Stegostoma tigrinum: one gene and its partners. The protein of the gene in region 1 interacts with the protein of each later gene in a pairwise test. Links are inferred from orthologs where the notes say so. Each region holds a gene or a part of one and is shown on either strand. Other genes may lie near its edges. The genes, in order: drg1, zc3h15 and rwdd1.

Region 1 (7,400 bases):
AGCTGAGATGATTGACGTCCAACAACCATGACCATCTTCCGACGTGTCAGATATGACTCCAACCACCGGAGCGTTTGCCCCCGATACCCATTGACTCCAGTTATGCTAGGGCTCCTTGATGCCACACCCAGTTGAATGCAGCCCTGATGTCAATACTGTCACTCTCATCTCACTTCTGGGATTCAGCTCTTTTGTCCATGTTTGAACCAAGGCTGTAATGAGATCAAGAACTGAGTGGCACTGGTGGAACCCAAACTGGGCATCACTGGGCAAGTTCTTGCTGAGCAGGTGCTGCTTGCTAGTCCTGTTGATGACAACTTCCATCACTTTATTGATAATTGAGAGTAGGCTGATGGGGTGGTAATTGGCCAGGTTGAATTTATCCTGCTTTTTATGTACAGGACATACTTAAGCAATTTTCCATTGTCAGATAAATATCAGTATTATAACTGTACTGGCGCAGCTTGGCTAGGGGAGCGGCAAGTTCTGGACCACACGTCTTCAGTACTGTTGCTGGAATGTGTTCAAGACATGTCTTTGCCATACCCAGTGTCTCCAACCATCTCTTTTTACCACATGAAGTGAATAGAATTGGCAGAAGACCAGTAATGCTGGGGACTACTGGAGGAGGCCAAGATGGATCATCCACTTGGCATTTCCAGCTGAAGACTGCTGTGAAAGCTTCAGCCTTATCTTTCGCACTGATGTGCTGGGCTCTTCCATCATTGAGTATGGGGATATTTGTGGTGCCTCCTCCTCCAGTGAGTTGTTTAACTGTCTACCAACATTCACGACTGGATGTAGCACGACTGCAGAGCTTAGATCTGATCCATTGGTTGTGGGATTGCATAGCTCTATCTATCACACTCTGCTTATGCTGTTTGGATTCCAAGTAGTCCTGTTTGGTGGCTTCACCAGGTATGCCTGGTCCTGCTCCTAGCATTGCCTCCTGCAGTCTTGTACTAAACCAGGGTTGATCCTCTGGCTTGATGGTAATATTTCAGGGGGGATATGCCAGGTTTTGAGGTCACAGATTGTGCTTGAGTACAATTCTGCTGCTGTTGATTGTCCACAATACCTCATGGATACCCAGTCTTAAGGTGCTAGATCTGTGCAAAGTCTGTCCCATTTAGTATGGTGATAGTGCCACTCAACACAATGGAAGTTATTTTCAATGTGAAGGTGGGATTTTGTCTCCACAAGGACTGTGCAGTGGTCACTCTTACTGATACTGTCTTTGACAGATGGAATTGCAACTGGCATTTTGGTAAAAATGAGGGCAAGTATGGTTTTCCCTCGTGTGGTTCCGTCTTCACCTGCTGCATACTCAGTCTAGCGGCTATGTTGTTTAGGACCTCACCAGCTCAATCATTATTACTGCTGCTGAGCCACACTCAGTGGTGGACATTGAAATTCCCCACCCAAAGTACATTTTGTGCCCTTGCCATTCTCAGTGCTTCCTCCAAGTGTTGTTGGAGGAGCACTGTTTCATCAGCTGAGGGAGAACGTTATGCAGTAATCAGCAGGTTTTCTTGCCCGTGTTTAACCTGAAGCCATGAGACTTCATAGGGTCTGCAGTCAATGTTGAGGACTCCCAAAGCAATTCTCTCCCACTGTGTCGCCACCTCTGCTGTGTCTGTCCTACCAGTGAGACAGGACATATTCAGGGATGGTGATGGTGGTGTCTGGGACATTGTCTGTAAGGTATAATTCTGTGAGTATTCTTCTAGTTATGATGTTGCCGATATGGTAATCTTATGTATGTGGAATTTCAGGAATCCCAGCGTGTCTACTGACCAGTAAGGTTTGAAGCTGCAATAGCTTTGAAAAAAGTTTTTCAGTAATCCACAATTTACTTTGATAGCCATGGTTGACAGACATTTTTCAGTTTGTGTGCTTTGAAGGTATATGTCAATAGTGTAAATTAAGAGATAGCTCTTTAAAGGTTATCTATTTCTAATGTACTGTCATATCCTTGAATGTAATTTGTCAATCCATTTCAGCCAATTTGCTGCTCAGAATTTAATTATATCCTTTGTTCAGACTTCCACCCACCTTCAGATTGAACTACCTTATTTTCAAACATTATATTACACATTTCTAAAGATTAATTTACAAGAATATTAATTAGCCATTATTCATAATACTAGATCTAAAATGGTTCATTCTCTCGTCAATTTCTCAACATATCGCACTAGAAAACCATAATGCTCTTCAGGAACTCATTCTTCACAGCATTATTGCACATTAGGTCTACCCAGTCTATATGTAGATTGAAGTCTCCAATGCTTACCGTATTCATCACGCTGGGGAATGTTTCTTTAATTTCTGGATTAATAATGAGGTCCACACTATTGTTTCATGGCCTAGGAACCAGTCCTTTCAATGTATGGTGCCCCCTTGATGTTTCTTAATTTCATCCAAACAGATTCTACATTTTAAAAAAAACTGAGAGCTGCATATGCTACAAATCAGAAATAAAAACAGAAGTTGCTGGAAAAGCTCAGCAGCCTGGCAGCATCTGAGAAGAGAAATCAGAGTTAACATTTCGGGTCTGGTGACCCTGCCTTAGATTCCACATTTTGTTCTACTGATTTGACATCCTCCCTTACTAATGTACTGATCCCATCCCTTATTATCAATGTAACACTACATCCTTTTCCTTTTTGCCTGTCTTTCCTAAATATCAAATATCCTTGAATATTCAATTCCCTAGTTTTGGTTATCATGCAGCTTGGTTTCCCTAATGGTAATTAGATCATACCCATTTTCCTCCATTTGTGCGTTGCAATCACCTACTTTGTTACAAATGCGTTGTGCATTTCAAGTTGAGTGCTCGACTTTGTTTTTGACATTATTTTGCATTCTAAGTTTAGTTGATGCTCACAATCTTTCGCCTGTCTCCTGATTTTACTTATCACATATCTACTTCCTATTGCCAGCTACACTGCTTCCAATTTGAGCTGCAAATCTCTCTGTGAAGATATCAGTCCAGGTCTTGTAAAAGTATAACCTGCCCAACATTCCATCCATCCCAAAACTTGTCTTATTGTTTCAAAAATCTGATCAACTCCTCCTCCACCAATTCTTCAGTTATGTGTTCAATTGATCAATCCTCCTATTCCTATGATCACTACCAGCTAGCATTGGGAGTATTCTGAGATTACTACTCGAGGTCTTGATTTTTAATTTCCTTACAAACTCTCCAGAATCTACTTTCTGGACTGCGTCGCTCCTCCTATCTTGGTCACTGGTACATATGTGGACCATGACCTCTGGCTGGTCATCCACCCCAGAAGGATATCTTACATTTTGTGACATTATTGACCCTGGCACCAGGAGGCAACACACCACCTTAAATTTCTTTACTGCCATGTAAATGCCTGTCTGATCCCCTGACCATGAAATAATCTATCGCTATTGATTTTTGACTCTTTTCCCCTTTCTTTATCTCCAGTGGTGCCAGGGTGGACTCGGGGGACCTCCACACCACTTGCCTATCTTCAACAATTTCATTTCAGCTTCTATGAACCTAACCTGCAATGTGATTACCTCCCTGAATATACTATCTACGTAATTCTCTGCCCTTTGAATGCACAAAAGTGACTCTAGCCATTACTTGCATTCTTGTCCATGGAGCTCAAATTTGCAGTTGGTAACGTTTCTTGCAGATGGGAAAAATGGGATACGTATAGCTGAGTTGACGTACCACTCCGTAACTTTTAAACTACGTATTCGTTCGAATGTGCCGAGTAACTTACCAGTTACTCATCAAACAGCTTCTTTCTGTGTACCAAAGAACCAATTACTGAATGTCTAACAACATACTGAGAAAAAAAATCTCCTCCACCTCTACCACGAAGTCCCTAAAATCACCGAGATCCCAGCTGCATCGAAAATTAGATGAAATGTGACGGAGGGAAGTCCTTTCTAAAATTATTTTCAACGGACCTGTTGGGACATGAGATGATACATATCCATGGAACAAGAGCCAGACCTATGGACACTGCCAATGGCCCTTAAGGTTTATCATGCTCTCTAAAAATCAAGTAAATTGAAACCTCTGAAAACTAGGTTTAACACACCACTTCGTTAAATGGACGGACCTACTCTGAGAGAGCTGAGATACCCCTAATTTAAGGTCGGAACAAAAGATTGACTTCTTTAAATCTATAGAGTAATTCTTAGTTAACTGCTAAAGTGATGTTTGTTGACATCTCCTTGTTGTTCCGTGCTCCTATGCAAACACTCTAAACTGAGGTGTACGACTCGGCATTGCCTCAACGGCCGTTTCAACCGTTAATAACGAACAGCCGCGCGCTGCACTGGGCGGGCGGTGAGGCAATGCGCAGGCGCAGTGGCGCTTTCCCCGCCCAATCCCGCGGAGTGGTCGGTCTCGCGAGGCTGTCTGACTTGGACAGGGTTCATCCGGCTGTGGTTGTTCGACATGAGTATCCTTCAGAAAATCTCGGAGATTGAGGCCGAGGTAATTAGCAGGTCGAGAATCAGAATGTTCGCGTATGGGACACACGACACCGGGGTGGGGAATGGTGAAAGAGGTGATACCAATTGGGGGCGGGGGAAAAGAAGGGATGCAGATGGACAGTGGGTGGCAGGGAGGTAGAGGCCACTCGCCCCCCACCCACACTCGGCACTTCCCCCGTCACATCCCCTCGTCGTCACCCACCACCCCCCCCCCCACTACATTTTGGAAAAACGAAGAAAGACAAAAGTGGGGCCTTGGGCAGTGTTGTAAAACAGAGGGACCCAGGCACAGTTGTTTAAGATAATAAAATGTGAGGCTGGATGAACACAGCAGGCCAAGCAGCATCTCAGGAGCACAAAAGCTGACGTTTCGGGCCTAGACCCTTCATCAGAGAGGGGGATGGGGGGAGGGAACTGGAATAAATAGGGAGAGAGGGGGAGGCGGACCGAAGATGGAGAGTAAAGAAGATAGGTGGAGAGGGTGTAGGTGGGGAGGTAGGGAGGGGATAGGTCAGTCCAGGGAAGACGGACAGGTCAAGGAGGTGGGATGAGGTTAGTAGGTAGCTGGGGGTGCGGCTTGGGGTGGGAGGAAGGGATGGGTGAGAGGAAGAACCGGTTAGGGAGGCAGAGACAGGTTGGACTGGTTTTGGGATGCAGTGGGTGGGGGGGAAGAGCTGGGCTGGTTGTGTGGTGCAGTGGGGGGAGGGGATGAACTGGGCTGGTTGAGGGATGCAGTGGGGGAAGGGGAGATTTTGAAACTGGTGAAGTCCACATTGATACCATATGGCTGCAGGGTTCCCAGGCGGAATATGAGTTGCTGTTCCTGCAACCTTCGGGTGGCATCATTGTGGCAGTGCAGGAGGCCCATGATGGACATGTCATCAAGAGAATGGGAGGGGGAGTGGAAATGGTTTGCGACTGGGAGGTGCAGTTGTTTGTTGCGAACTGAGCGGAGGTGTTCTGCAAAGCGGTCCCCAAGCCTCCGCTTGGTTTCCCCAATGTAGAGAAAGCCGCACCGGGTACAGTGGATGCAGTATACCACATTGGCAGATGTGCAGGTGAACCTCTGCTTAATGTGGAATGTCATCTTGGGGCCTGGGATGGGGGTGAGGGAGGAGGTGTGGGGACAAGTGTAGCATTTCCTGCGGTTGCAGGGGAAGGTGCCGGGTGTGGTGGGGTTGGAGGGCAGTGTGGAGCGAACAAGGGAGTCACGGAGAGAGTGGTCTCTCCGGAAAGCAGACAGGGGTGGGGATGGAAAAATGTCTTGGGTGGTGGGGTCGGATTGTAAATGGCGGAAGTGTCGGAGGATAATGCGTTGTATCCGGAGGTTGGTAGGGTGGTGTGTGAGAACGAGGGGGATCCTCTTGGGGCGGTTGTGGCGGGGGCGGGGTGTGAGGGATGTGTCGCGGGAAATGCGGGAGACGCGGTCAAGGGCGTTCTCGATCACCGTGGGGGGGAAGTTGCGGTCCTTAAAGAACTTGGACATCTGGGATGTGCGGGAGTGGAATGTCTTATCGTGGGAGCAGATGCGGCGGAGGCGGAGGAATTGGGAATAGGGGATGGAATTTTTGCAGGAGGGTGGGTGGGAGGAGGTGTATTCTAGGTAGCTGTGGGAGTCGGTGGGCTTGTAATGGACATCAGTTACAAGCTGGTTGCCTGAGATGGAGACTGAGAGGTCCAGGAAGGTGAGGGATGTGCTGGAGATGGCCCAGGTGAACTGAAGGTTGGGGTGGAAGGTGTTGGTGAAGTGGATGAACTGTTCGAGCTCCTCTGGGGAGCAAGAGGCGGCGCCGATACAGTCATCAATGTACCGGAGGAAGAGGTGGGGTTTGGGGCCTGTGTAGGTGCGGAAGATGGACTGTTCCACGTAACCTACAAAGAGGCAGGCATAGCTGGGGCCCATGCGGGTGCCCATGGCCACCCCCTTAGTCTGTAGGAAGTGGGAGGAGTCAAAAGAGAAGTTGTTGAGTGTGAGGACGAGTTCCGCTAGGCGGATGAGAGTGTCGGTGGAGGGGGCCTGGTCGGGCCTGCGGGACAGGAAGAAGCGGAGGGCCTTGAGGCCATCTCCATGCGGAATGCAGGTGTACAGGGACTGGACGTCCTCCAGTCCCTGTACACCTGCATTCCGCATCCAGTCCCTGTACACCTGCATTCCGCATGGAGATGGCCTCAAGGCCCTCCGCTTCTTCCTGTCCCGCAGGCCCGACCAGGCCCCCTCCACCGACACTCTCATCCGCCTAGCGGAACTCGTCCTCACACTCAACAACTTCTCTTTTGACTCCTCCCACTTCCTACAGACTAAGGGGGTGGCCATGGGCACCCGCATGGGCCCCAGCTATGCCTGCCTCTTTGTAGGTTACGTGGAACAGTCCATCTTCCGCACCTACACAGGCCCCAAACCCCACCTCTTCCTCCGGTACATTGATGACTGTATCGGCGCCGCCTCTTGCTCCCCAGAGGAGCTCGAACAGTTCATCCACTTCACCAACACCTTCCACCCCAACCTTCAGTTCACCTGGGCCATCTCCAGCACATCCCTCACCTTCCTGGACCTCTCAGTCTCCATCTCAGGCAACCAGCTTGTAACTGATGTCCATTACAAGCCCACCGACTCCCACAGCTACCTAGAATACACCTCCTCCCACCCACCCTCCTGCAAAAATTCCATCCCCTATTCCCAATTCCTCCGCCTCCGCCGCATCTGCTCCCACGATAAGACATTCCGCTCCCGCACATCCCAGATGTCCAAGTTCTTTAAGGACCGCAACTTCCCCCCCACGGTGATTGAGAACGCCCTTGACCGCGTCTCCCGCATTTCCCGCGACACATCCCTCACACCCCGCCCCCGCCACAACCGCCCCAAGAGGATCCCCCTCGTTCTCACACACCACCCTACCAACCTCCGGATACAACGC
Region 2 (7,757 bases), on another chromosome or scaffold:
CCACCGCTTGCTCCCCAGAGGAGCTCGAACAGTTCATCCACTTCACTAACACCTTCCACCCCAGCCTTGAGTTCACCTGGGCCATCTCCAGCACATCTCTCACCTTCCTGGACCTCTCAGTCTCCATCTCAGGCAACCAGCTTGGAACTGATGTCCATTTCAAGCCCACCAACTCCCACAGCTACCTAGAATACACCTCCTCCCACCCACCCTCCTGCAAAAATTCCATCCTCTATTCCCAATTCCTCCGCCGCATCTGCTCCCACGATGAGGCATTCCACTCCCGCACATCCCAGATGTCCAAGTTCTTCAAGGACCGCACCTTTCTCCCCGCAGTGGTCGGGAACGCCCTTGACCGCGTCTGCCGCATTTCCCGCAACACATCCCACACACCCCGCCCCCGCCACAACTGTTCGAAGAGGATCCCCCTCGTTCTCACACCGCACCCCACCAACCTCCGGATACAACGCATCATCCTCCGACACTTCCGCCATCTACAATCCGACCCCACCACCTAAGACATTTTTCCATCCCCACCCTTGTCTGCTTTCCAGAGAGACCACTCTCTCCGTGACTCCCTTGTTCACTCCACACTGCCCTCCAACTCCACCACACCCGGCACCTGCCCCTGCAACCTCAGGAAATGCTACACTTGCCCCCACACCTCCTCCCTCACCCCTATCAGGCCCCAAGACGACTTTCCATATTAAGCAGAGGTTCAGCTGCGCATCTGCCAATGTGGTATACTGTATCCATTGTACCCGGTGTGGCTTCCTCTACATTGGGGAAGCCAAGCGGAGGCTTGGGGACCGCTTTGCAGAACACCTCCACTCGGTTTGCAATAAACAACTGCCCCTCCCAGTGGCGAACCATTTCCACTCCCCCTCCCATTCTTTAGATGACATGTCCATCATGGGCCTCCTGCAGTGCCACAATGATGCCACCTGAAGGTTGCAGGAACAGCAACTCATATTCCACTTGGGAACCCTGCAGCCCAATGGTATCAATGTGGACTTCACCAGCTTCAAAATCTCCCCTTCCCCCACCGCATCCCAAAATCAGCCCGGTTCGTCCCCTCCCCCCACTGCACCACACAACCAGCCCAGCTCTTGCCCCCCCCACACTGCATCCCAAAACCAGTCCAACCTGTCTCTGCCTCCCTAACCTGTTCTTCCTCTCACCCATCCCTTCCTCCCACCCCAAGCTGCACCTCCATTTCCTGCCTACTAACCTCATCCCACCTCCTTGACTTGTCCGTCTTCCCTGGACTGACCTATCCCCTCCCTACCTCCCCACCTATACTCTCTCCAACTATCTTCTTTTCTCTCCATCTTCGGTCCCCCTCCCCCTCTCTCCCTATTTATTCCAGAACCCTCTCCCCATCCCCCTCTCTGATGAAGGGTTTAGGCCCGAAACGTCAGCTTTTGTGCTCCTGAGATGCTGCTTGGCCTGCTGTGTTCATCCAGCTCCACACTTTATTATCTTTACTTCACTGGAGTTTAACTGGCAGGTTTACATTGGCTGGTATTTACTCTGGATTGTATTTACACTATAGGATTTACTCCACCATATTTTATACTGGGCAAGGCTTAGACTGTGTGACACTTACAATGGGTGGGACTGACTTCAAAAGGTTTTACACAGGATGAGATCGACAGTGGGTATGATTTATTCCACTAGGTTTTACACTGGGCTAGAGTTACAGCAGACCACATATACACTGGGTGGTATTTACACTGCGTGGGATTTACTCCACCAAGTTTTACACAGAGTGAGATTTACTTCAATGTGTTTTACACCCGGCAGGATTTACAGTGGGCCATCTTTACACCAAGCAGCATTTTCACCAGGCAGTACTTATATAGGCTCATATTTAAACTGAGTGGGGTTTACAGTGGGTGGTATTTTTGCTGCCATATTTACACAAGGCAGTATATGCATCTGTTGGTATTTATACCTGGAACACTTGTGACAGAGAGTATTTACACCAAGTGGTATTTACACTGAGCGGTATCGATACTGAACATGTTTACCTTGTGCTTAGTCAAACATGCTCATAATCGCACTAAGTGGTGTTTACATCTGGTGGGATGGTATTCATATCTCTCAGTATTAACATTAGGTATTATTATGTCAAATGGTATTTAAACTAGGCAGAATTTACAACTGACAGTATTTGCATCTAGCGGCACTGACGTTGGGTAGTAATTATGCTGGGTAGTATTTACACAAGACAGCCTTTGCACGAACAGTGAAGTACACCAAGTGGTACTTACTTCAGATATGACTGACTCCAGGCTGTATTTACTCCAGGTGATATTTACACTGGGAGTGATATATGTCAGGTGAGATTTACACTGGGCAGCATTAATACCAGGTCATATTCACAGCAGGTGAAATGCTTACATGGTGGATTTACACTGTGCAGAATTTACAGCATGAGATGTTTATTGCTGGTAGGATATACACCAAGTGATATTTGTCCTCTGCTGTACTTACACACGAACAGCAATGAAGCTGGAGAAGTTTACACCAGGTATCACATCAGGAAGTATTTTTAGCACATGGTATTTACTGTGGGCTACACTCCAACTTAGTGGTACTGTATTTAGAGTTGATTGTATTTACACTCAGCGATATTTACATTGGGCAGGATTTATTACCGGGCAGGATTTAGATGTCCTGGGATTTTCACTGGGCAGTATTCACAATGAAGAGGTTTTACACTAGGTACATTTATGATGTGAAATATTTATACAGTGGATCATATTTACACCTGGTACATTAACACCAGAGATTTATACCTGGTGGTATTAACGAAGGCAGTAATTTCCCCAGGTCAGACTCACACATGACAGTATTTAACCCAGACAGTATACACATTAGGAGGGCTTTATACCAGGTGGAATTTGTAATATGTGATACTTACACCGGTGAGACTCCCCAAGGTGATGGATTCTTATCCATGGTGGGATTCTCACCTGGCACAGGATTGTTGTCGTGCTGGTTCCTTATTCAGGATGGGATACGCCCGGGTATAGGACTCACAAACAGGGGTGGAATACCACAAAGCGTGTGAATCTCCAATGAACAGGATTTCCACCCAGTGCAGGATACCCCAGGTGTGGGATTCCCCTGGGTACGGGATTCCACCCGGACGCAGGATTCTCACACAGTGTAGGATTCCCCCAGGTACAGGATTCTCACCTGGTGCAGGATTCCCCCAGGTACAGGATTGCCCCAGGTGCAGAATTCTCACCTGGTGCAGATTCCCCCAGGTACAGGATTCCCCCAGGTGGAGGATTTTCATCTGGTGCTGGATTGTCCCAGGTACAGGATTGCCCCAGGTGCAGATTTCCCACCTGGTGCGGATTCCCCCAGGTGCAAGATTTTCACCTCGTGCGGGATTCCCCCAGGTGCAGGATTCTCACCTGGTGCGGGATTTCCCCCGGTACAGAATTCCCCCAGGTGCAGGATTCCCCCAGGTGCAGGATTCTCACCTGGTGCGGGATTTCCCCCAGGTACAGAATTCCACCCCCCACCCCCGGTGCGGAGTTCCCCCAGGTGCAGGATTCTCACCTGGTGCGGGATTTCCCCCGGTACAGAATTCCCCCAGGTGCAGGATTCCCCCAGGTGCAGGATTCTCACCTGGTGCGGGATTTCCCCCAGGTACAGAATTCCCCCCCCACCCCCGGTGCGGAGTTCCCCCAGGTACAGAATTCTCCCAAGTGCAGGATTCTCACCGGGTGCAGGATTCCCCCAGATGCAGGATTCCCCCAGGTGCAGGATTCTCACCTGGTGCGGGATTTCCCCCAGGTACAGAATTCCCCTCCCACCCCCGGTGCGGGGTTCCCCCAGGTACAGAATTCTCCCAAGTGCAGGATTCTCACCGGGTGCGGGATTCCCCCAGGTACAGAATTCCCCCAAGTGCAGGATTCTCACCTGGTGCAGGTTTCCCCAGGTACAGAATTCCCCCAAGTGCAGGATTCTCACCTGGTGCGGGATTCCCCCAGGTACAGGATTCTCACCTGGTGCCGGATTCCCCCAGGTACAGAATTCTCACCTGGTGCGGGATTCCCCCAGGTACAGAATTCCCCCAGGTGCAGGATTCTCACCTGGTGCGGGATTCCCCCAGGTACAGAATTCTCACCTGGTGCGGGATTCCCCCAGGTACAGAATTCCCCCAGGTGCAGGATTCTCACCTGGTGCAGGATTCCCCCAGGTACAGAATTCTCACCTGGTGCGGGATTCCCCCAGGTACAGAATTCCCCCAGGTACAGAATTCTCACCTGGTGCGGGATTCCCCCAGGTACAGAATTCTCACCTGGTGCGGGATTCCCCCAGGTACAGAATTCTCACCTGGTGCGGGATTCCCCCAGGTACAGAATTCCCCCAGGTACAGAATTCTCACCTGGTGCGGGATTCCCCCAGGTACAGAATTCTCACCTGGTGCGGGATTCCCCCAGGTACAGAATTCCCCCAGGTACAGGAATCTCACCTTGTGCGGGATACCCCCAACCACAGGAGAGGGCTACGCCCTAGTTCCAGAATACCACCCAGGTGCGGGATACGCCCCCACGTGCGGGATTGTTCGCCCCCAGATGCCGGATACCCCCCAAACATGCGCGGGCTGTCATCGGAGCGGTCGGAGTTCCGGCGCGGGATGATCAGCGAGGCCCCGCCCTCTCCCATTGTGGTTGCCGTGGTGTCCGCGCGTGCGCGGAGGTGGTCAGCTGAGATCACCCACAATTCAGTGCGGGGGCGCCGTCGGCGTTGTGGGGACCGGGGCCCAATTCTGAGGCCGGCTGTGGGAGCAGGGCGAGCGGACACTGATTCAGGCTGCGATGCCGCCCAAGAAATCCTCGAGTCAACCCAGCAAAAAGACTGAGCAGAAGAAAAAAGAGAAGGTCATCGAGGTGAGTTGGGGAGGCATCGGCATTGCGCGATCCGACCTCTGCTCCCGCGGCGCCGACAGGGACAGGCCAGGCCGGGCCGGGCCGAGCGTGTGGCCACCCCCTCGGCCGCAGTGGGGAACGGAGGGGTTCTGGGAGGAGAAGGCCCCGATTTGAGTTTCAAGTTGTGTATATATTCCTGTTTCCGTTTTTTCTCTCTTCTCCAGTCTGGCTGTTCTGTGCGGAGTTTAATGACCCTGTTAACTCGTGTGTTGTGGGTCCTGTGTGTGTGTGTGTGTGTGTGTGTGTGAGAGAGAGAGAGTGCGAGTGAGTGATGGCTCTGTAGGTATGGCAAGGAGGCATGTGTTGGAGATTGAAATACTGTTCCTCCCACCACAGGCTACAGTGAGCTGCCTCTTTTAGCAAAAACCCACCTGTCGGTTTACAATTCTGATGACAGCCCACTGGCCGTAAATGTTAACTCTTGATTTCCTTCCTCCATCTCCACGGATGTTGTCCGACCCACCGCATATTTGCAGCGTTTTCTGTTTTTTTTTTCCTATTTCGACCTGCTTTCGTGTCAGTTCACAGTACCTGTTAACGATGGCTTCGGGGGGGGGTGGTCTTTTTCCTGGGGTCATGTGGTTTTAAGGTTGTATAATTCAAAACACTTGGGGTAGTTTGCGAAAGACAGTATTATGTCATTAATTTCAAAAGCAAGATCCTGGAAGTGCTGAGCACCTGAAGAAATAGAAAATGCTGGAAATGTTCAGATTTGGCAGTTTGAGGAAAACTGGACAGCTAATGTTTCAATTTATTGACCTTTCATCATTGACTTGAAATGCTAACCCTGTATTATATCTCTGTTTGATTGTAGAATTAACACTGTTACAATTTCTGTATTAAAAATTGTAGCTACTTTAGTATTATGGTCTAATGTAAGGTGTGATCTAAAATAACTATCAGACTAAATCAAGACATTTTTGGCAGTATATCTCCTCATGAAAATGAAGACTGGGTAAATACTTTTCAAAACATAAAATTTGGATACTGCGTATAGAGAGAATGTTACCTCATGGGAAGAGCGTAACAAGAGGCCAGCAATATACAAGATTCTTCAAGAAATCCAGTAGAGGCTTCAGGAGGAACTACTTTTCCTAATGGGTATTTAAATGCAGAACCAACTACCACAGTGAGTGAAGGAAATAGTATTGATATATTTAAGGGAAAAAAGGCAAGCACATTACGGAGAAAGGATAGTTATGGTTTTAGGTCAGAGTAGATGGTAACATGTTTAACTTGAGCACGAATGCTATCCTGCACCAGATGTGCTGAATGGCCTGCTACTTGCAAACATTAATTCTGCACCTTGTAGGCAGTATAAATCAGTTGAGAAACAAAGGAGCAGGTGTCTGCTATTTGGTCCTTTGAGCATGATCCACCATTCGGTGGAATCATGGTAGATCAGACTTTAATTGAATCTCTCTTCTGTCTGTGCTCCACAATTGTTTACTCCCTGTTTGCATCTAAATAATACTTAGTGGCTTTCACAATCGCAATGTTTTATCACCAATTAAGTAATTTTAATTAGTCACTAATATAGGAAAAATCACTCCAATTTGTGCATACAAACTCCCTCCAATAACATTATGAAGATGTAATCTGTAGTAATATTGATTGAGAGATGTGTATTAGACTGGACATTGGGGATAACTCCCCTGCTCTTCTTCAGAATAGTGCCATTGGATCTTTACATCCTTCTGAAAGAACACTTGGAACCACGGTTTAACATCCCGTCTGAATGACGGTACCTCTGACAGTGCAGCACCCCTTCAGTACTGCACTGGAGTGTGCATCTAGATTTGAGCTCAAACCTCTGGAGTGGGACTTGAACTCACAACTTTCTAACTCAGGTGAGATCACTACAAATTGATCCATGGCAATTGTTAGATTCTAACAGCTGCTAAATAAAAACAATGCATCAGTTTGGTACTATTATCTATCTACAATGATTGGGCAGACGTTCTTTGTTATATAGTGACTTTTCAGATGGTAATGTAGAGATATAGGATGTGTCAATTCAAAAGCGATGAGAGGAAAGCTAAAATAAAAACCAAGTACAAGAGTAGCTCAGGTCTGACAACAACTGGGGGGAGAGAAATCGTTAATGGTTCGAGTTTGATGTGACTCTTGAGAATGGAAGAGAAAAGCTAAGGCTGTTGAGAAAGTGATGTGGAAAAAAACTGGTGAATGAATTGGGAAGAAACAGAACTTAGCAAATGTGATAATGCATTAATGACTGAAATGGCATTGGAGGAAAAAGTATTTAAAGCTAAGATATTAGCTCTGAATATTCAGAGCAAAAAATCGGTGGCCCGGTGGTTAGTTCTGCTGCATCACAGGGCCAGGAATACAGGTTTGATTTCAGCCTTGAGCGACTGTCTGTGGAGTTTACATGTTCTCCAGACATCTGCATAGGTTACCTCCGGGTGCCCTGGTTTCCTCCCACACTCCAAAGATGTGCAGGCTAAGTGGATTGGGGCCATGCTAAATTGCCCATAGTGTCCAGGGATGTGCAGTCTAGGTGCCTTCGCCATGCAGGGTTACTGAGATAAGGTGGCGGAGGTGGTCTGAGTCAGATGCTGTTAGATGGTTGTGTTGATTTGATGCACTAACTGTGATAGTTTTAGTGTTAGGGTTAGACTGGCCTCCTTCCACACTATAGGGATTGTACGATCTTGTAGCTGTTGCTATTAAGATAGCAAGATTTTGGAGCAGAAGTAGGCTATTCAGCCCATCATCTGCTCTGCTGTTCAACAAGATCATAGGTGATCTGATAACCGCTAACTCCACTTTCCTGCCTTT
Region 3 (7,836 bases), on another chromosome or scaffold:
ACAGAAAGGTGCAGGAAGGTGAGGGATGTGTTGGAGATGCTCCAACTTAAGGTTGGGATGGACGGTGTCGGTGAAGTGGATCAACTGTTCGAGCTCCTCTAGGAAGGATGAGGCGGCGCCGATACAGTCATCAATGTAACAGAGGAAGAGGTAGGGTTTAGGGCCAGTGTAGGTGCGGAAAAGGGACTGTTCCACGTAACCTACAAGGAGGCTGGTATAGCTTGGGCCCATGTGGGTACCCATGGCCACCCCCTTTGTCTGTAGGAAGTGGGAGGAATCGAAAGAGAAGTTGTCGAGGGTGAGGACAAGTTCGGCTAGGTGGATGAGGGTGTCGGTGGAGGGTGCGAAATAGGGACTGTTCCACATAACCTACAAAGAGGCAGGTTTCGCTTGGGCCCATGTGGGTACCCATGGCCACCCACTTTGTCCGTAGGAAGTGGGAGGAATCGAAAGAGAAGTTGTCGAGGGTGAGGACGAGTTCGGCGAGGTGGATGAGGGTGTCGGTGGAGAGGGACTGGTCAGGTCTGCGGGACAGGAAGGAGCGGAGGGCCTTTAGGCCTTCTGCATGGGGAATGCAGGTTAGCCCTCCACCTCCTCCAGAATTTCCAATTCACCGGTCCCCAACACCTCATTTTCACCATGGACATCCAGTCCCTATACACCTGCATTCCCCATGCAGATGGCCTCAAGGCCCTCCACTTCTTCCTGTCCAGCAGGCCCGACCAGTCCCCCTCCACCGACACCCTCATCCACCTAGCCGAACTCGTCCTCACCCTCAACAACTTCTCTTTCGATTCCTCCCACTTCCTACAGACAAAGGGGGTGGCCATGGGTACCTACATGGGCCCAAGCTATACCTGCCTCCTTGTAGGTTACGCGGAACGGTCCCTTTTCCGCACCTACACTGGCCCGAAACCCCATCTCTTCCTCCGTTACATTGATGAATGCATCGGTGCCGCCTCATAGTCCCAAGAGGAGCTCGAACAGTTGATCCACTTCACCAACACCTTCCACCCCAACCTTAAGTTCACTTGGACCATCTCCAACACATCCCTCACCTTCCTGGAACTTTCTGTCTCCATCTCAGGCTACCACCTACAAACCGATGTCCATTTCAAGCCCACCGACTCCCATGGTTACCTGGAATACACCTCCTCCCACCCACCTTCCTGCAAAAATTCCATCCCCTATTCCCAATTCCTTCGCCTCCACCACATCTGCTTCCAGGATGAGGCATTCCACTCCCATACATCCCAGATGTCCTCGTTCTTCAAGTACCGCAACTTCCCCCCTGCAGTGGTCAAGAACGCCCTCGACCGTGTCTCCCGCATTTCCCGCACCTCATCCCTCACACCCCGCCCCCACAATAACCACCAAAAGAGAATCCCCTTATTCCTCACATGCCACCCCACCAACCTCCGGATACAATGCATCAGCCTCCGAAACTTCCACCATCTACAATCCAAACCCACCACTAAAGGCATTTTTCCAACCCCACTCTTATCTGCCTTCCAGAGAGACCACTCTCTCCACAACTCCCTTGTCCGCTCCACACTCCCCTCCAACCCCACCACACCCTGCACTTTCCCCTGCAACCACAGGATGTGCTATACCTGCCGCCACACCTCCTCACTCACCCCCATCCCAGGCCCCAAAATGACTTTCCACATCAAGCAGATGTTCACCTGCACATCCGCCAATATGGTATACTGCATCTGCTGTACCTGGTATGGCTTACTCTACGTTGGGGAAACCAAGCGTGGGTAACGGGTCTTGGTTCGGATTATTAGTTGGCGTAGGGTTGATGTGAGTTTGTGTACAACTGCAATGCCCAGTGGTCATAGGAGTTTTGTGGTCAGTTCAGATGTGTTTTTGATGTAACATAGCGTGACGAATGTGTTGGGGCGTGCAGTATCTTCCTGTTGTCACTCGTGTAATAGACATCTTCTGAGCCAGTTGTGGATACGCGAACAACGTCATATACAAGATTTCCTGCAAAGACTGTGACAAACATTACATTGGTCAGACAGGAAGAAAATTAGCCACAAGAGTAGACGAACATCAACTGGCAACAAAAAGACACAGCCAATACTCACTCATCACCAATCACATGGATAAGAAAAACCACCAGTTTGATTGGGACAACTCCAGGATCCTGGGACAGGTCAAGTAGAGACAAGCGCAGGAATTTCTACAGTCCTGATTGTCCACTAAGAAGGCGATCAACAAAAACACAGAGCTAGACCCTAGTTCTCCTCCACTGTGAAGCAAATCTGGAAGTGACGTAACCCAACTCAACAGGCACCAGAGTTTAACTAGCAGGCAGGAAAATAAAAAGCACTTCATCGGACGCTGCATTGATGACGTTACCCAGCAGGGTAATGAAACATCTGCGGAACAACAAACCAGCTCTGTGAGCCAACCAACCACAACATCCACAACCCGCACTACAATTCTACACTAAAAGTTTACAATGCTACGGTACGTTGCAATGTAGCATTCCTTGGCAATATGAACGGACCCATCGCTTGCAGCACCCCAGGCAAAACATCAGAACATAATAAAATTTTGTGTTCATATACTGAGGGATTACGCATAGTTTGATGCAACTGCATAGAAAAAGTAGATGAGTATGAGGGGGCAATGCTGTTACTTTTTTCACTTTTATCTTGAAGTTTATGCCCTTCCAAATGTAGTCCTTTTCCAAGCTTCAAATAATGTAGAAAATGAAATGGCTGCCATGTACAGCATCACCAAGAGCACCCTGCATCCAATGGCCAGATTCTCACCTGCAATGGAGACAGAATGTCGCTCCTATGTGCCATTTTTGTTTGACCATACCAATTCACTTCATCCAAATTTTAGCAGATACTCTGATTGCTCTGAACCATTTATGCAGAGAGTTCAGGTAATCTATCCAAACAATGAAGGAATCAAAATCCAGTTCCAAAAGAACAGGGCTGTACTCTTGCCTCAGCGATAGTAAGAACTGCAAATGCTGGAGTTAGAGATGACACAGTGTGGAGCTGAAGGAACACAGCAGGCCAAGCAGCATCAGAGGAGCAGGAACGTTGACATTTCGGATCGGAACCCTTCTTCAGAAATGAGGAGAGAGAGTGAATAGAGAGAGGAGAGGTGGGGCTTAGGAAGGTAGGTGGGATGGCAATAGGTAATTGCAGGTAGGCAGTGGTGCAGATTAGTCAGTGAGATGGGGGCAGATAGGTGGAAGAGAAGATGGACAGGTTGTGTCAGGTTAAGGAGGCAGGGTGACAGGGAGGGTTGATCATGGGATGTGGCTGAGGGTGGGGAGATTTTGAAAGTGGTAAAAACCACATTTAAGACATTGGGCTGTAGGCTCCCAAGGTGGAAAATGAGGTGCTGCTCCTCCAGTTTCTGGGTGGTGTCATTGTGGCACTGGAGGAGGCCCAGAATGAACACAATGCAGATACTCTACAAAACAGTTTCCGAGCCTCGGCTTGGTCTCATTAATGTAGAGGCCGCCACATTGGGAGCAGTGGATGCAGCAGACCATGACAGATGTGCAGGTGAACTTCTGTCTAATGTAGGTTACTTTTGTGCCTTGAACGGAGCTGAGGAGAGAGGTGTAGGGGCAGGTGTATCACTTCCTGAAGTTGCAAGGAAAGGTGTCAGTGGTGGTGGGGCTAGTGGGGAGCGTGGAGCGGACAAGGGAGTCGCAGAGACAGCGGTGCCGATAAAAGGCAGATAGGGTGAGGAGGAAATATACCTTTGGTTGTGGGGTCGGATTGTCGGTGATGGGAGTGGCAGAAAATAATACATTGGATATGGAGTCTTTGGTGTGATATGTGAGGACAAGGTGTATTCTGTCTTTACTTTCATTGGGGAGAGCAGATGCAATAGCAGAGGTGTGGGAAATGCAAGAGATACAGTAGAGGGCATTTCTGATCACCAGCGGAGTATGGTGTAGTCCTTGAAATAGGAGGTCATCAGCGATGTCCGGGAGTGGTATGCTCCATCTTGGGAGCAGATGCGGCGGAGGTGAAAGAATTGGGAGGAAGGGATCGCATTCTTGCAGGAAGGTGGGTGACAGGAGGTGTAGTCTACGTAGCTACAGGAGTTGGTGGGCTTAAAATTGATCTTGGTTTCGAGGCGGTCACCAGAGACGGAGACGGAAAGGCCCAGGAAGGAGGGGGAGGTATTAGAGATGGTCTAGGTGAATCTGAGGTTGAGGTGAAAGGTGTCAGTAAGGTTGATGAACTGTTCAAGCTCCTCGTGGAAGCACGAGTAACCCCTCTTGCCTCAATTCTCCGTCGCTTCCGAGACCAGGTCAAACTGGATCGCAGATGATAACCAGTCTGTCCTCTCAACAGCGGGTGCCAAACAGAGGACCGTATCATCATCTGTGCACAAAGCGGCTTTAAACCTAAACGTAGGCCATTTATGAAACTAATTCCATTAATAATCCAGGAGAATCCTAACTTCACTGGAAATACATGGTCTACCGGGGCACAAATCGTATAGTTTGGGGAGTGGAGAGGATGGGAATCGCTGTTTTTCCTCAAAGAGATCGCAATCCATTGTTTCAGCAAAATATTGTAATTTTTAAATGTTCTGCCTGAATGATAACTCCTGAATTTAGCCTAATAACCGCTAACAGACACATAAACCTACTGAGACACGAATGAAGGCAAGCGTCCCACCTCCGAACCGACACGCCGCCAATAACGAGGCATCGACAAGAAGAACCCCGTCTCTCAGTCCTTCGAGCTCCTCCGCCCTCACCTGGGAGGACTCGGCCCTTGTTAGCCAACACACGGGCTCTGCGCGCGCGCAAACCGAGCCTCTCTCGGGGAGGAGGGAGACCGGTGGAGGAGGGGAGCGCATGTGCAGAGCGGGCTTGTCGGTCGGTGTCGCCCTTTATCTTAATGGCGTTTCTCAGTCGTTCAACATGACCGATTACATCGAGGAGCAGCGCAATGAGCTGGAGGCACTGGAGTCCATTTATCCGGACTCGTTCACAGGTGAGAGGCCTCTGTTCGGGCCGAGGGCCCTCCGCTAAGGAGAGGGGCCGGGGCCGGGCCATGGGCCATGGGCCGGGTTCTGCCACTGGGCCACGGGAGATGGGAAGAGGCTGGCAGCCGGAGGGGAGGGGAGGGCTTCGCTGTGGCCGGTTTGGGAGCTACTGGCATCTGAAACCGTCAGAATGTGGTAGGTAAACAGTCTGGTTACGTGTCACGTGTCGTTAGTTCCGCATCTTCTCAAAGCCGTCCACGGGTGAGGGATTGGATGATCATCATCCTTGGTACTTGGGAACATCTGTATTGATATTATAACAATCAAGAATTAGCCCTGTCAATAAAAATGTGCGGGATTTAGTTTCATTGATTTGTCCCCACGTGTGAAATTGTAAGGCGTATGGAATGTTGAAGCAATGAGTAAGTATATTCTGATGCGAAACAAAATAGGGGGGCAGCAGAATCAAACTTCGTAGTGAATAGGATTTAAATATCTGAAAACAAAATAGCTTATTTAACAGTGGGATGTTCTATTCCCTCTTCATTAGTCTTCACCTCTGCCTTTTTTAAGTTCTCATCTGGAATCTGTGCTTTCCTGTCTATAATTAACCTTAAACCGTTAGGTGCTGAGCATAAAAACCAAAAGAACAGTGGATGCTGTAAATCAGAACCAAAAACTGGAAAAGCTCAGCAGGTCTGGCAGCATCTGTGAAGAGAAGTCAGAGTTAACATTTTGGGCCTGGTGACAAGCCCTCAGGCATCTCTGACAGAGAAATTTTAGGTGCTGCATGCCTCATCATGCATGGCTGACCAAGCATCTCTCCAGCTTGATCGGCTTTGGCTTGAGTTGGATGGATTGTCAAACTGTTTGGCTGCATCATAAACACACTTTCTGTGGGCAATGATGCTACAGTAGGAATTGATCCGAAGCTTCTGATTCAGAGGCACAGGCATTACTGTCAAGATACAATACTTTTATTTGTTAACAAAGTGTGGGGCTGGATGAACACAGCAGGCCAAGCAGCATCTTAGGAGCACAAAAGCTGACGTTTCGGGCCTAGACCCTTCATCAGAAAAGGGGGTTGGAGGGAGGATTCTGAAATAAATAGGGGGAGAGGGGGAGGCAGACCGAAGATGGATAGAGGAGAAGATAGGTGGAGAGGAGAGTATGTGTGGGGAGGTAGGGAGGGGATAGGTCAGTCCAAGGAGGACGGACATGTCAACGGGATAGGATGAGGTTAGTAGGTAGGAAATGGAGGTGCGGCTTGAGGTGGGAGGAGGGGATAGGTGAGAGGAAGAACAGGTTAGGGAGGCGGGGACGAGCTGGGCTGGTTTTGGGATGCAGTGGTGGGGAGGGGAGATTTTGAAGCTGGTGAAATCCACATTGATACCATTGGGCTGCAGGGTTCCAAGCGGAATATGAGTTGCTGTTCCTGCAACCTTCGGGTGGCATCATTATGGCACTGCAGGAGGCCCAGGATGGACATGTCGGCTAGGGAATGGGTGGGGGGGGTGGAACTTGAAATGTTCACAACTGGGAGGTGCAGTTGTTTATTGCGAACCAAGGGTAGGTGTTCTGCAAAGCAGTCGCCGAGCCTCCGCTTGGTTTCCCCAATGTAGAGGAAGCCACACCATGTACAGTGGATACAGTATACCACATTGGCGGATGTGCAGGTGAACATCTGCTTGATGTGGAAAGTCATTTTGGGGTTTGGGATGGGGGTGAGGGAGGAGCTGTGGGGGCAGGTGTAGCACTTCCAGCGGTTGCAGGGGTAAGTAATGGGTTTGGTGGGGTTGGAGGGGAGTGTGAGGCAGACAAGGCAGTCGCGGAGAGAGTGGTCACTCCAGAAGGCAGACAAGGGTGGGGATGGAAAATGTCTTTCGTGGTGGGGTCAGATTGTAGATGGCGGAAGTATCGGAGGATGATGCGTTGTGTCTGGAGGTTAGTGGGGTGGTATGTGAGGACTAGGGGGATTCTCTTTTGGCGGTTATTGCGGGGGCGGGGTGTGAGGGATGAGATGCGGGTGATACGGTTCAGGGCGTGCTTGACCACTGGAAAGGGGAAGTTGCGGTCCTTGAAGAACGACGACATCTGGGATGTGCAGGAATGGAATGCCTCATCCTGAGAGCAGATGCGGCAGAGGTGAAGGAATTGGGAATACGGGATGGAATTTTTGCAGGAATGTGGCTGCGAGGTGGTGTTGGGAGCACGAGACGGCGCCGATACAGTCATCAAGGTAATGGAGGAAGAGGTGGGGTTTTGGGCCAGTATAGGTGCAAAAGAGGGACTGTTCCACATAACCTACAAAAAGGCAGGCATAGCTTGGGCCACCCCCTTTGTCTGTAGGAAGTGGGAGGAATCGACAGTGAAGTTGAGGGTGAAGACGAGTTCGGCTAGGTGGATGAGGGTGTCGGTGGAGGGGGACTGGTTGGGTCTGTGGGACCCTAACCCCCACCTCTTCCGCTGCTACATTGATGACTGTATCGGCGCCGCCTCATGCTCCCAAGAAGAGCTCAAACACCTTCCACCCCAACCTTCAGTTCACCTGGCCATCTCCAACACATCCCTCACCTTCCTGGACCTTTCTGTCTCCATCTCAGGCAACCACCTCCAAACCGATGTCCATTTCAAGCCCACCGACTCCCACAGTTACCTGGAATACACCTCGTCCCACCCACCTACCTGCAAAAATTCCATCGCATATTCCCAATTCCTTCGCCTCCGCCGCATCAGCTCCCAAGATGAGGCATTCCACTCCCGCACATCCCAGATATCCTCGTTCTTCAAGGACCGCAACTCACCCACCCCGACCCCCATCCCACCACCCCGCAGTGGTAGAGC

Evidence for each region.
Region 2: the proteins of drg1 (region 1) and zc3h15 interact in binary tests that used the Homo sapiens proteins (3 or more experiments, as listed by UniProt). The two-hybrid records come from large-scale screens. The link is inferred for Stegostoma tigrinum from reciprocal best matches to the Homo sapiens genes DRG1 and ZC3H15.
Region 3: the proteins of drg1 (region 1) and rwdd1 interact in binary tests that used the Homo sapiens proteins (3 or more experiments, as listed by UniProt). The two-hybrid records come from large-scale screens. The link is inferred for Stegostoma tigrinum from reciprocal best matches to the Homo sapiens genes DRG1 and RWDD1.

The regions. Positions count from the first base shown.
Region 1 is NC_081379.1:46,784,335-46,791,734, reverse strand, and holds the start of drg1 (developmentally-regulated GTP-binding protein 1), read left to right. Parts: upstream 1-4,375; 5' UTR 4,376-4,447; coding exon 4,448-4,486; intron 4,487-7,400. UniProt on the Homo sapiens protein: Catalyzes the conversion of GTP to GDP through hydrolysis of the gamma-phosphate bond in GTP. Appears to have an intrinsic GTPase activity that is stimulated by ZC3H15/DFRP1 binding likely by increasing the affinity for the potassium ions.
Region 2 is NC_081360.1:39,409,549-39,417,305, reverse strand, and holds the start of zc3h15 (zinc finger CCCH domain-containing protein 15), read left to right. Parts: upstream 1-4,738; 5' UTR 4,739-4,844; coding exon 4,845-4,916; intron 4,917-7,757. UniProt on the Homo sapiens protein: Protects DRG1 from proteolytic degradation. Stimulates DRG1 GTPase activity likely by increasing the affinity for the potassium ions.
Region 3 is NC_081357.1:57,080,757-57,088,592, reverse strand, and holds the start of rwdd1 (RWD domain-containing protein 1), read left to right. Parts: upstream 1-4,812; 5' UTR 4,813-4,861; coding exon 4,862-5,000; intron 5,001-7,836. UniProt on the Homo sapiens protein: Protects DRG2 from proteolytic degradation.